2 linked regions of the Macaca mulatta genome follow. The protein of the gene in region 1 interacts with the protein of each later gene in a pairwise test. Links are inferred from orthologs where the notes say so. Each region holds a gene or a part of one and is shown on either strand. Other genes may lie near its edges.

Region 1 (3,815 bases):
CCTGAAGGAAAAATTTGATCAGTGAAGGCTATTCAATTTGACTCTTCATTAGGGACCTAGGGGGAATCCCAGTTTTCTAAGATATATTTGAATAATAGTGAATATTTATTGAGTCCTCCTTGTTTTTTGCTAGAGAGCATGCTAAAGGCTATATGTGCAGGAACATACTGATCCCCTTGGCAACCCTGAATAGTTGGTAGGATTTTAAACATCATTGCTGTGCTGTAGAAAATGAGACTAAGAAAGGGGTAAAATAACTTGCCCAAAGGGCTATGGCTGCCAGCTGGTGGAGCATTGCACCCTCATCTGCTGACCCAGAGCCTGAGCTACACCCTCCACTAGAGTCCTGCCAGGAAAAAGTTATATATAGAACAAGGTAATCATCATCTAAAAGATTTTGTAAAATAACATGCTGAACCAAGCAAAACCAATACCAGTGTTTGGCACACATGAAATTTTGTGTCTTATGAGTCATGAAAAATCAGGATGCCAAGTGATTTGAAGCTGACCCAAATTGCTAATTGTAATCAATGCTAAAAGAATTGTCTCCTGTCCTCTCTAAACCCAACAAGTATACTCATTAATTCTCGAGCATTCTCAGGAAAGGGCTCTATGTAACTGTTTTAGCAAAAGATGACATTGTCCTTGCTATATGCCAAGTGCTATTCTATGCATTCTATATTTTAATGTCCTCAAAGCTTATAACCACCTCCTGTGTGTGTGTTTTAGGGAGGGAGGACACTGCTATTATCCCCATTTACAGATGGGGAAACCAAGGTGTCAAGACATTAAATAACGTGCCCAAAATTGCCCATCTAGTAAGTGACCAAACTCAATTTCAACATAAGCAGCCTCCTTTTCTTACTACTTGGTGGAAAAGTAATTCAAATTGGAATATCATCATTGCAGTTATTAGCTGTTCCATGGAGTTTAAGGAAGAGCTGCCATGAGCTGAGTAGGGGTCAGGATTGACATGTCCTTAGAAGGACTTAGAGCCTTCATACAAGACCACCTCTGTCTCGTGGAGGACAGAATAAGGAGCCTGACACAGGGGGCAACATTTTCCTCAAATCTAGGCAGGACAGAAAAGGAAAAAGGACATCAGGACTATGCCCATTCCTCCATGCTGCCAACAGCAAAGTCCCTCCTTCCTTAATATGCTTTCTGGCAAGAAGCCTGGATGGTACACAAAACCTCTCCCTCTGCTTCACCTTCCACAACCAAGCATTTCCAAATCTTTTACTCTTCTTCCTGAATCTTGCTTAAAATCTGCCCTCTCCTCCCTTTCTTATATGGATAGTTTGAATTTTACTCCTTGATATTCCTTTTATTATAGACATGCCAGAGTAGCTGAGCACTGTGGTTCATGCCTCTAATCCCAGCATTTTGGGAGGCTGAGATGGGAGGGAGATCAGGGGTTTGAGGCCAGTATAAGCAAGAAATCCAGACCATGTCTGTACAAAAAATAAAAAAATTATCCGGGTATAGTGGTGCATTCCTGTAGTCCTAGCTACTTGGGAGGCTGAGGTGGGAGGATTGCTTGAGCCCCAGGAGGTTGAGGCTGCAGTGAGCCGAGACTACACCATTGCACTCCAACCTGGGACACAGAGCAAGACCCTATCTCAAAAAAAAAAAAAAAGTATAGGTACCAGAGTGATATTTTCAATGTCACTGACCCTTCATTCCCCAAATGAAAATCCCCCAATAGGTGTTCAATTTTTATGTGTCCTTCAAGAGTTACTTCTGAGATGAACCACTCCCTACCCTAAATGTCCCTCCCCACCACCAAAACCAGGGACCTCCAGGCAGACATTTTTGATGGTTTATCTTCTTTACTAGACTGTAGATACCTAAAAGGTAATGGGTCTTTCTTCCCTGTTTGCAGGCCCTACTGCATGGTTTTACATATTGTGGTTTTTCAAATGATATTCATAGTGTGAAGCAAGAAAAAATGCGGGTGTTTGGTTTGAGAACAACCTGTTCTAAAGCAAGGAGAAATTCATCATAACACAGATGGATAGAGATGAGTCCAACCATCCCATTGAAGGTCAGAACGGACAGTCTAGATAATTTAGCAAGAAATCATCATAAACTATTTTTCAGAAGAATGACATGATGAAAGCTGTATTTCCAAACCATAATATTAGGTTTCAGGCTAAATCATCTCAGCTCCTGGGAGCAGGATAAGATTTGGTACTTACCAAGGCCCCCTGACCCACACACTCACCTTGTAGCCCTGGCATACATCTTCAACAAGAGCTGTGGTGTGCCCTTTGTGCTGTGGTGCCCGCTCACAGCGCCAGCAGATGAGCTGCCCCTCGTCTTCGCAGAACAGGTGGAGCTGCTCTCCGTGTTCCTCACATGACATCTCTTGATCCATCTCTTTGAGGGCTTCAATGAGGCTTCCCAGCTGCTTGTTCGGTCGGAGGCTATGCATGTGAAATGGAGCCCGACACTGGGGACAGCAGAACGTCTCCTGCCTCAGTCGCTTTTGGCTTGGGTTTTTAAAGAAGTCCGTTATACACAAGTGGCAGTAGCTGTGTCCACAGTTGATGCTTACTGGGTTCGTCATCAGGCTCAGGCAGATGGAGCAGGTGGCTTCCTCCATCATCTTCTTGGTGCTGGTGGTTGAGGCCATAGCTTTTATTGAAAAGCTCCAATGTTGGCTCTAGAGATGGAGATGAAGCAGCCAGAATTTTTACCATGATGAAAATACACCTCACCTGCACCTCTATGTGATGAGCTGGCTGCTACTGACCTCCATAGGTCTTGAAGGTTTTCCTTCCAACCCCTATTATCTCATTTTGTATTGAAGAAAAGAGGACTTAAAAGGAAGAAGCTGAGGCTGAGTTTGTTTGGGCCACGATTGAGAACTGCAACCCAGATGCAGAGTTTCAAGTTGTCCTCGTTAGCAAGCAGTTGCAAGTGGTTATTTAACGGGAAAAAAAAGCAGTTTTAAAGCCGTTTTTAAAATTGTTTACCAAGAATTTACATTAAAATAGCATAAGCTTTTGATTGGCTATACATTGTTCTTTTTATTACAAATCTCAGGAACATGTAGGTAATAGATGAGGCAGCCAGTCAGGAACAAAATGCTTTTAAACATGGGGTCTTAACTGAAGACCCATACTCCTGTCTCACTGGTCCTGATAAATTTTGCATACCTCACATAGCTCAGACTGCTCTAAACTATTTTTCTTTTCTCAGTCTTCTATTTTTTTTTTTTTTTTTCTAATGAGCCAGAGTCTCACTCTGTCGCTCAGACTGGAGTGCAGTGGTGTGATCTCGACTCACTGTAACCTCCGCCTCCCCGGTTGAAGTGATTCTCCTGCCTCAGCCTCCCGAACAGCTGGGTCTACAGTGGTGCGCCACTACGCCCAGCTAATTTTTGTATTTTTTAGTAGAGACGGGGTTTCACCATGTTGCTTGGCCAGGATGGTCTCGATCTCTTGACCTTGTGATCCACCTGCCTCAGTCTCCCAAAGTGCCGAGATTACAGGAATGAGCCACTGCACCCGGGCTCTTTTTCTTTTCTTATGAGACAAGTTCTCGCTCTCTTGCAGTGCAGTGGCATGACCACCGCTCACTGCAGCCTCGACCTCCTGGGTTCAAGCAATCCTCCTGCCTCACCCTGGCAGAGTGGCTGGGACTACAGGCATGTGCCACCATGTCCAGCTAAAGTCTTCTCTCCAGAAAGAAGAAATGCATTAGAATTTAGAGGACGCATAAACGTCTAGCTGTGTAGCTAATACAGTAGCCACTATCATGAATGGGAATTTAAATTTAACTTAATAAAAATTAAAATGAAACATTTA
Region 2 (3,815 bases), on another chromosome or scaffold:
CTGATTTTTATATTTTTAGGAGAGATGGGATTTCACCATGTTGGCCAGGCTGGTCTCGAACTCCTGACCTTGGGTGATCCGCCCACCTCGGCCTCCCAAAGTGCTGGGATTACAGGAGAATTAGGAACTTTGGACATGAGATATGGCATGACTTGTTTTCAGTTTTCATCTTCTGGCCCAGAGAAATCTCTATGCCTTTCTGTGTGTCTCCCATCTGATGATACAGGCAAGATACCTCTGCAGTGGGACCTTCCCCTTCAGCAGCCTAAGGACTAAGCCCTGCGGGGACTTTTAAGTCTGGCCAGTCACTGGTGTTCAACCTCCTTTGACACTGGGTTCAATTTCAGGGTTGAGAATTCATATCTTTCCATGGGATGGGGTGTGGAAAATCTTTCATCCCTAAACTATCGGATAGTCCTTTCTGCTAATAGTACCCTTTCCTTTCTGCTAATGGTACCCTTTGAACCACAATAGCTAGGAGAAGAATATCTGAAGTTGAGGTGCTCAGAGAGCTGACATTACTTCACTGCTTGCCAAGTGAATGATTTGGCGGGGGGAGGGAGAGCACCCTGCGATTTGTCTGTCTTCGGGGGCCCAGTGCAGTTCTTTTCCCTTAAAGGACACTTGTCATCTCTCATTAAGATTCCAAGTGAATCAGCTTTGAGAGAAGAACGATCTTTAGGAGCTTGTGGGGAGGGAGTAGATGGCAGCACATGTTTAAGGAAAGGACGGGGGAAGGTGGGGGGAAGAGGAGCGGGTGAGGAGGAGAAGGGGGAGGAGAAAGGGAGGAGGAGGGTAGGGGGAGGTGGAGGAGAAGGGTAGGGGCAGGTGGAGGAGGAGAAGAGGGGGTGGAGAAGGAGAGGAGGGGGAGGAGAAGGAGGACGAGGCAGAGGAGGAGGAGGTTGAGGAGGACAGTGAGAATCTCTCTGGTCCTAGAAGCTTGGCAGCCTTTCTTCGGCATCTTGTTCTGCCGAGTGACTGTCATTCTGGGCAGATCCCCATGTAAGAACATTGGGTACCTACAGAATGGAACTGGTGTCATAAGCAACTCTTTGTTCGGGTTATTGCTCCCTTGAGTGCTCTGAGGCCTCCAGACAGTCTCCATGGAAAAGTCTGCAAAAAGCCGTCCCCCTCCCTGCCCATAGAAGGTGAAGAATCATCAACCTGCCAAATATAATTTTATGTAAAAGGACAAGAAGAGGTCTCATAATCTTAATGGGATTACATGGCAAAAGTGCCAGAATCATGGTAAATGGCAAAAAGGAAGCATTTTGTAAAATTCCACGGAGGCATGTTTACCAGTTTGTGAAAGAGGAGTGGCTAGGCCGGGTGCGGTGGCTCATGCCTGTAATCCCAGCACATTGGGAGGCTGAGGCGGGCAGATCACTTGAGGTCAGGAGTTTGAGACCCGCCTGGCTAACATGATGAAACTCTGTCTCTACTAAAAATACAAAAATTGGCCTGGCGCAGTGACTCATGCCTGTAATCCCAGCACTTTGGGAGGCCGAGGCGGGCGAATCATAAGGTCAGGAGATCGAGACCATCCTGGCTAACATGGTGAAACCCCGTCTCTACTAAAAATACAAAAATTTAGCTGGTGTGGTGGCACGCGCCTGTGGTCCCAGCTACTCGGGAGGCTGAGGCAGGAGAATCGCTTGAACCCGGGAGGCAGCGGTTGCAGTGAGCCAAGATCGCGCCATTGCACTCCAGCCTGGGTGACAGAGCGAGACTCTGTTTAAAAAAAAAAAAAAAAGAGGAGTGACTAACCTCTGATCTGAAGAGGACAGAGCTGCCCTGTCTTGTTGCCGGCTGCATCTTCATTTGTTTACATTCTTTCTTTTTTGAGACAGAGTCTCACTCTGTTGCCCACGCTGGAGAGCAGTGGAATGATTTTGGGTCACTGCAACCTGCACCTCCTGGATTCTAGCAATTCTCCTGCCTCAGCCTCCCAAGTAGCTGGGATTACAGGCATGTGCCACCACACCTGGCTAAATTTTGTATTTTCAGTAGAGGTTTTGCCATGTTGGCCAGGCTGGTCTCGAACTCCTGACCTCAAGTGATCCTCCCGCCTCAGCCTCCCAAAGTGCTGGGATTACAGACGTGAGCCACTGCGGCCGGCCAACATCCTCACTTGTTTGCAGTCTTGAATCTTTTCCTATACCCTTGTGACAACAGAAAAATTCAAGTTTTCTGGACTCTGAAAAATCAGAATGGAGTTTGACATGAGGTGGTTTTATTTTCTCTTACCAGTAATTGAGAAATTCACAGAGAATACCAGATTCTGCCTCATCTGTAACTATCTGTCAAAGATCATCCCTGCCTTGCAGTCCCGCTGCACGAGGTTTCGGTTCGGTCCCCTGACTCCTGAACTCATGGTTCCCCGCCTGGAACATGTCGTGGAAGAAGAGAAGTGAGTATTTTGCGGGTCTTTGGGGATGCAGTGTAGTAGAAACAGGCTTGTGGGATGACTGATGGTTCGTATGTAGAGGAGAGGATGTTGGAAAACGACTTTGCTGAGTGCCTAGCACAGGGGAGGCACTGGGGAGCGTCTACTGCTATCATTTTCTCTGCTGTCTCAAGGCCATTCCTCATAAAAGTCTTTTGGTACTTCATTTTTCTTGATTCCATCCTCCTCCCCTGGAAGCTGCCCAATTTCCTCCTACTCTTCTTTGTCATTGGAAACTGCAGGCTGCTGAGTCCCTTCTGCAAAGATGCTTCCAGCCTTTTTAGACTAGAAGGGAAGGTTCTGAGACATCACATTCTGTGTAATCAGATGCCAAACAAGTAGCCGACCTGAGCAGCTGCTTGTTGTAAAGGAGGAGTTTGGGCTGTGTGATCATGGCTTGTGCCAGGCCTCTGCTCCCCAGAGAGCAGAATTCAAGGCGACTGGCTCCATGGGAGAATGCTTGTTCCTAAATGCAGGCTGTTCTCGTTTTGGTTGGCTGTGAGTACTAATGTGAAGCCCAGGTCCCTAAAAACCAGAGTGAATTCTAGATCAGATAGATCATGAGATTATTAACTCTGTTCCTCTCTTTCCTTCATTCCTTTAAAGCCTTAATCATTCCAGACCATCTTGTTCCTTTGGTGAATGCTAGTGCTCTCCGGGGACCTCATAAATCCCTTCTGCTTATTTCTTTCAGAGTTGATATAAGTGAAGATGGAATGAAAGCACTAGTCACTCTTTCCAGCGGAGACATGCGCAGGGCTCTGAACATTTTGCAGGTATGGTCTCAGCAAATCCTTTTGTTTTTGAGACAGAGTCTTGCTCTGTCGCCCAGGCTGCAGTGTAGCAGCACAATCTCAGCTCAGTGCAACCTCCGCTTCCTGGGTTCAAGCGAATCCCCTGCCTCCTGAGCAGCTGGGATTACAGGCGCCCACTACCACGCCCTGCTAATTTTTGTATTTTTAGTAGAGATAGTGTTTCGCGCCCTGCTAATTTTTGTATTTTTAGTAGAGATAGTGTTTCGCCATGCTGGCTAGGCTGGTCTCGAACTCCTGACCTCAAGTGATCCGTCCGCCTCGGCTTCCTAAAGTGCTGGGATTACAGGCGTGAGCCACCGTGCCCGGCCTGGTCCCAGCAAATCCTGAGTCATTGTTTTGTCATAGTTTTTTAAGAAAGACCTAAGCAAAGGCATGATCAATCTGTACATTTAGAAATCTACAACTGGTAAGACCTTGATCTCATAACCTGCTGGATTTCCCCCTCCTTACTTTGTATTTTGATTAATTGAAAAAATCACTTGTTGCAGGGCCAGGTATGGTGGCTCACGCCTGTAACCCCAGCACTTAGGGAGGCCAAGGCAGGTGGATCACCT

The links.
Region 2: the proteins of TRIM38 (region 1) and RFC5 interact in binary tests that used the Homo sapiens proteins (3 or more experiments, as listed by UniProt). The link is inferred for Macaca mulatta from reciprocal best matches to the Homo sapiens genes TRIM38 and RFC5.

The regions. Positions count from the first base shown.
Region 1 is NC_133409.1:157,140,112-157,143,926, forward strand, and holds part of TRIM38 (E3 ubiquitin-protein ligase TRIM38), read right to left. Parts: intron 2,669-3,815; 5' UTR 2,639-2,668; coding exon 2,228-2,638; intron 2-2,227; coding exon 1-1. UniProt on the Homo sapiens protein: E3 ubiquitin-protein and E3 SUMO-protein ligase that acts as a regulator of innate immunity. Acts as a negative regulator of type I interferon IFN-beta production by catalyzing 'Lys-48'-linked polyubiquitination of AZI2/NAP1, leading to its degradation.
Region 2 is NC_133416.1:125,292,588-125,296,402, forward strand, and holds part of RFC5 (replication factor C subunit 5), read left to right. Parts: intron 1-2,250; coding exon 2,251-2,410; intron 2,411-3,140; coding exon 3,141-3,222; intron 3,223-3,815. UniProt on the Homo sapiens protein: Subunit of the replication factor C (RFC) complex which acts during elongation of primed DNA templates by DNA polymerases delta and epsilon, and is necessary for ATP-dependent loading of proliferating cell nuclear antigen (PCNA) onto primed DNA.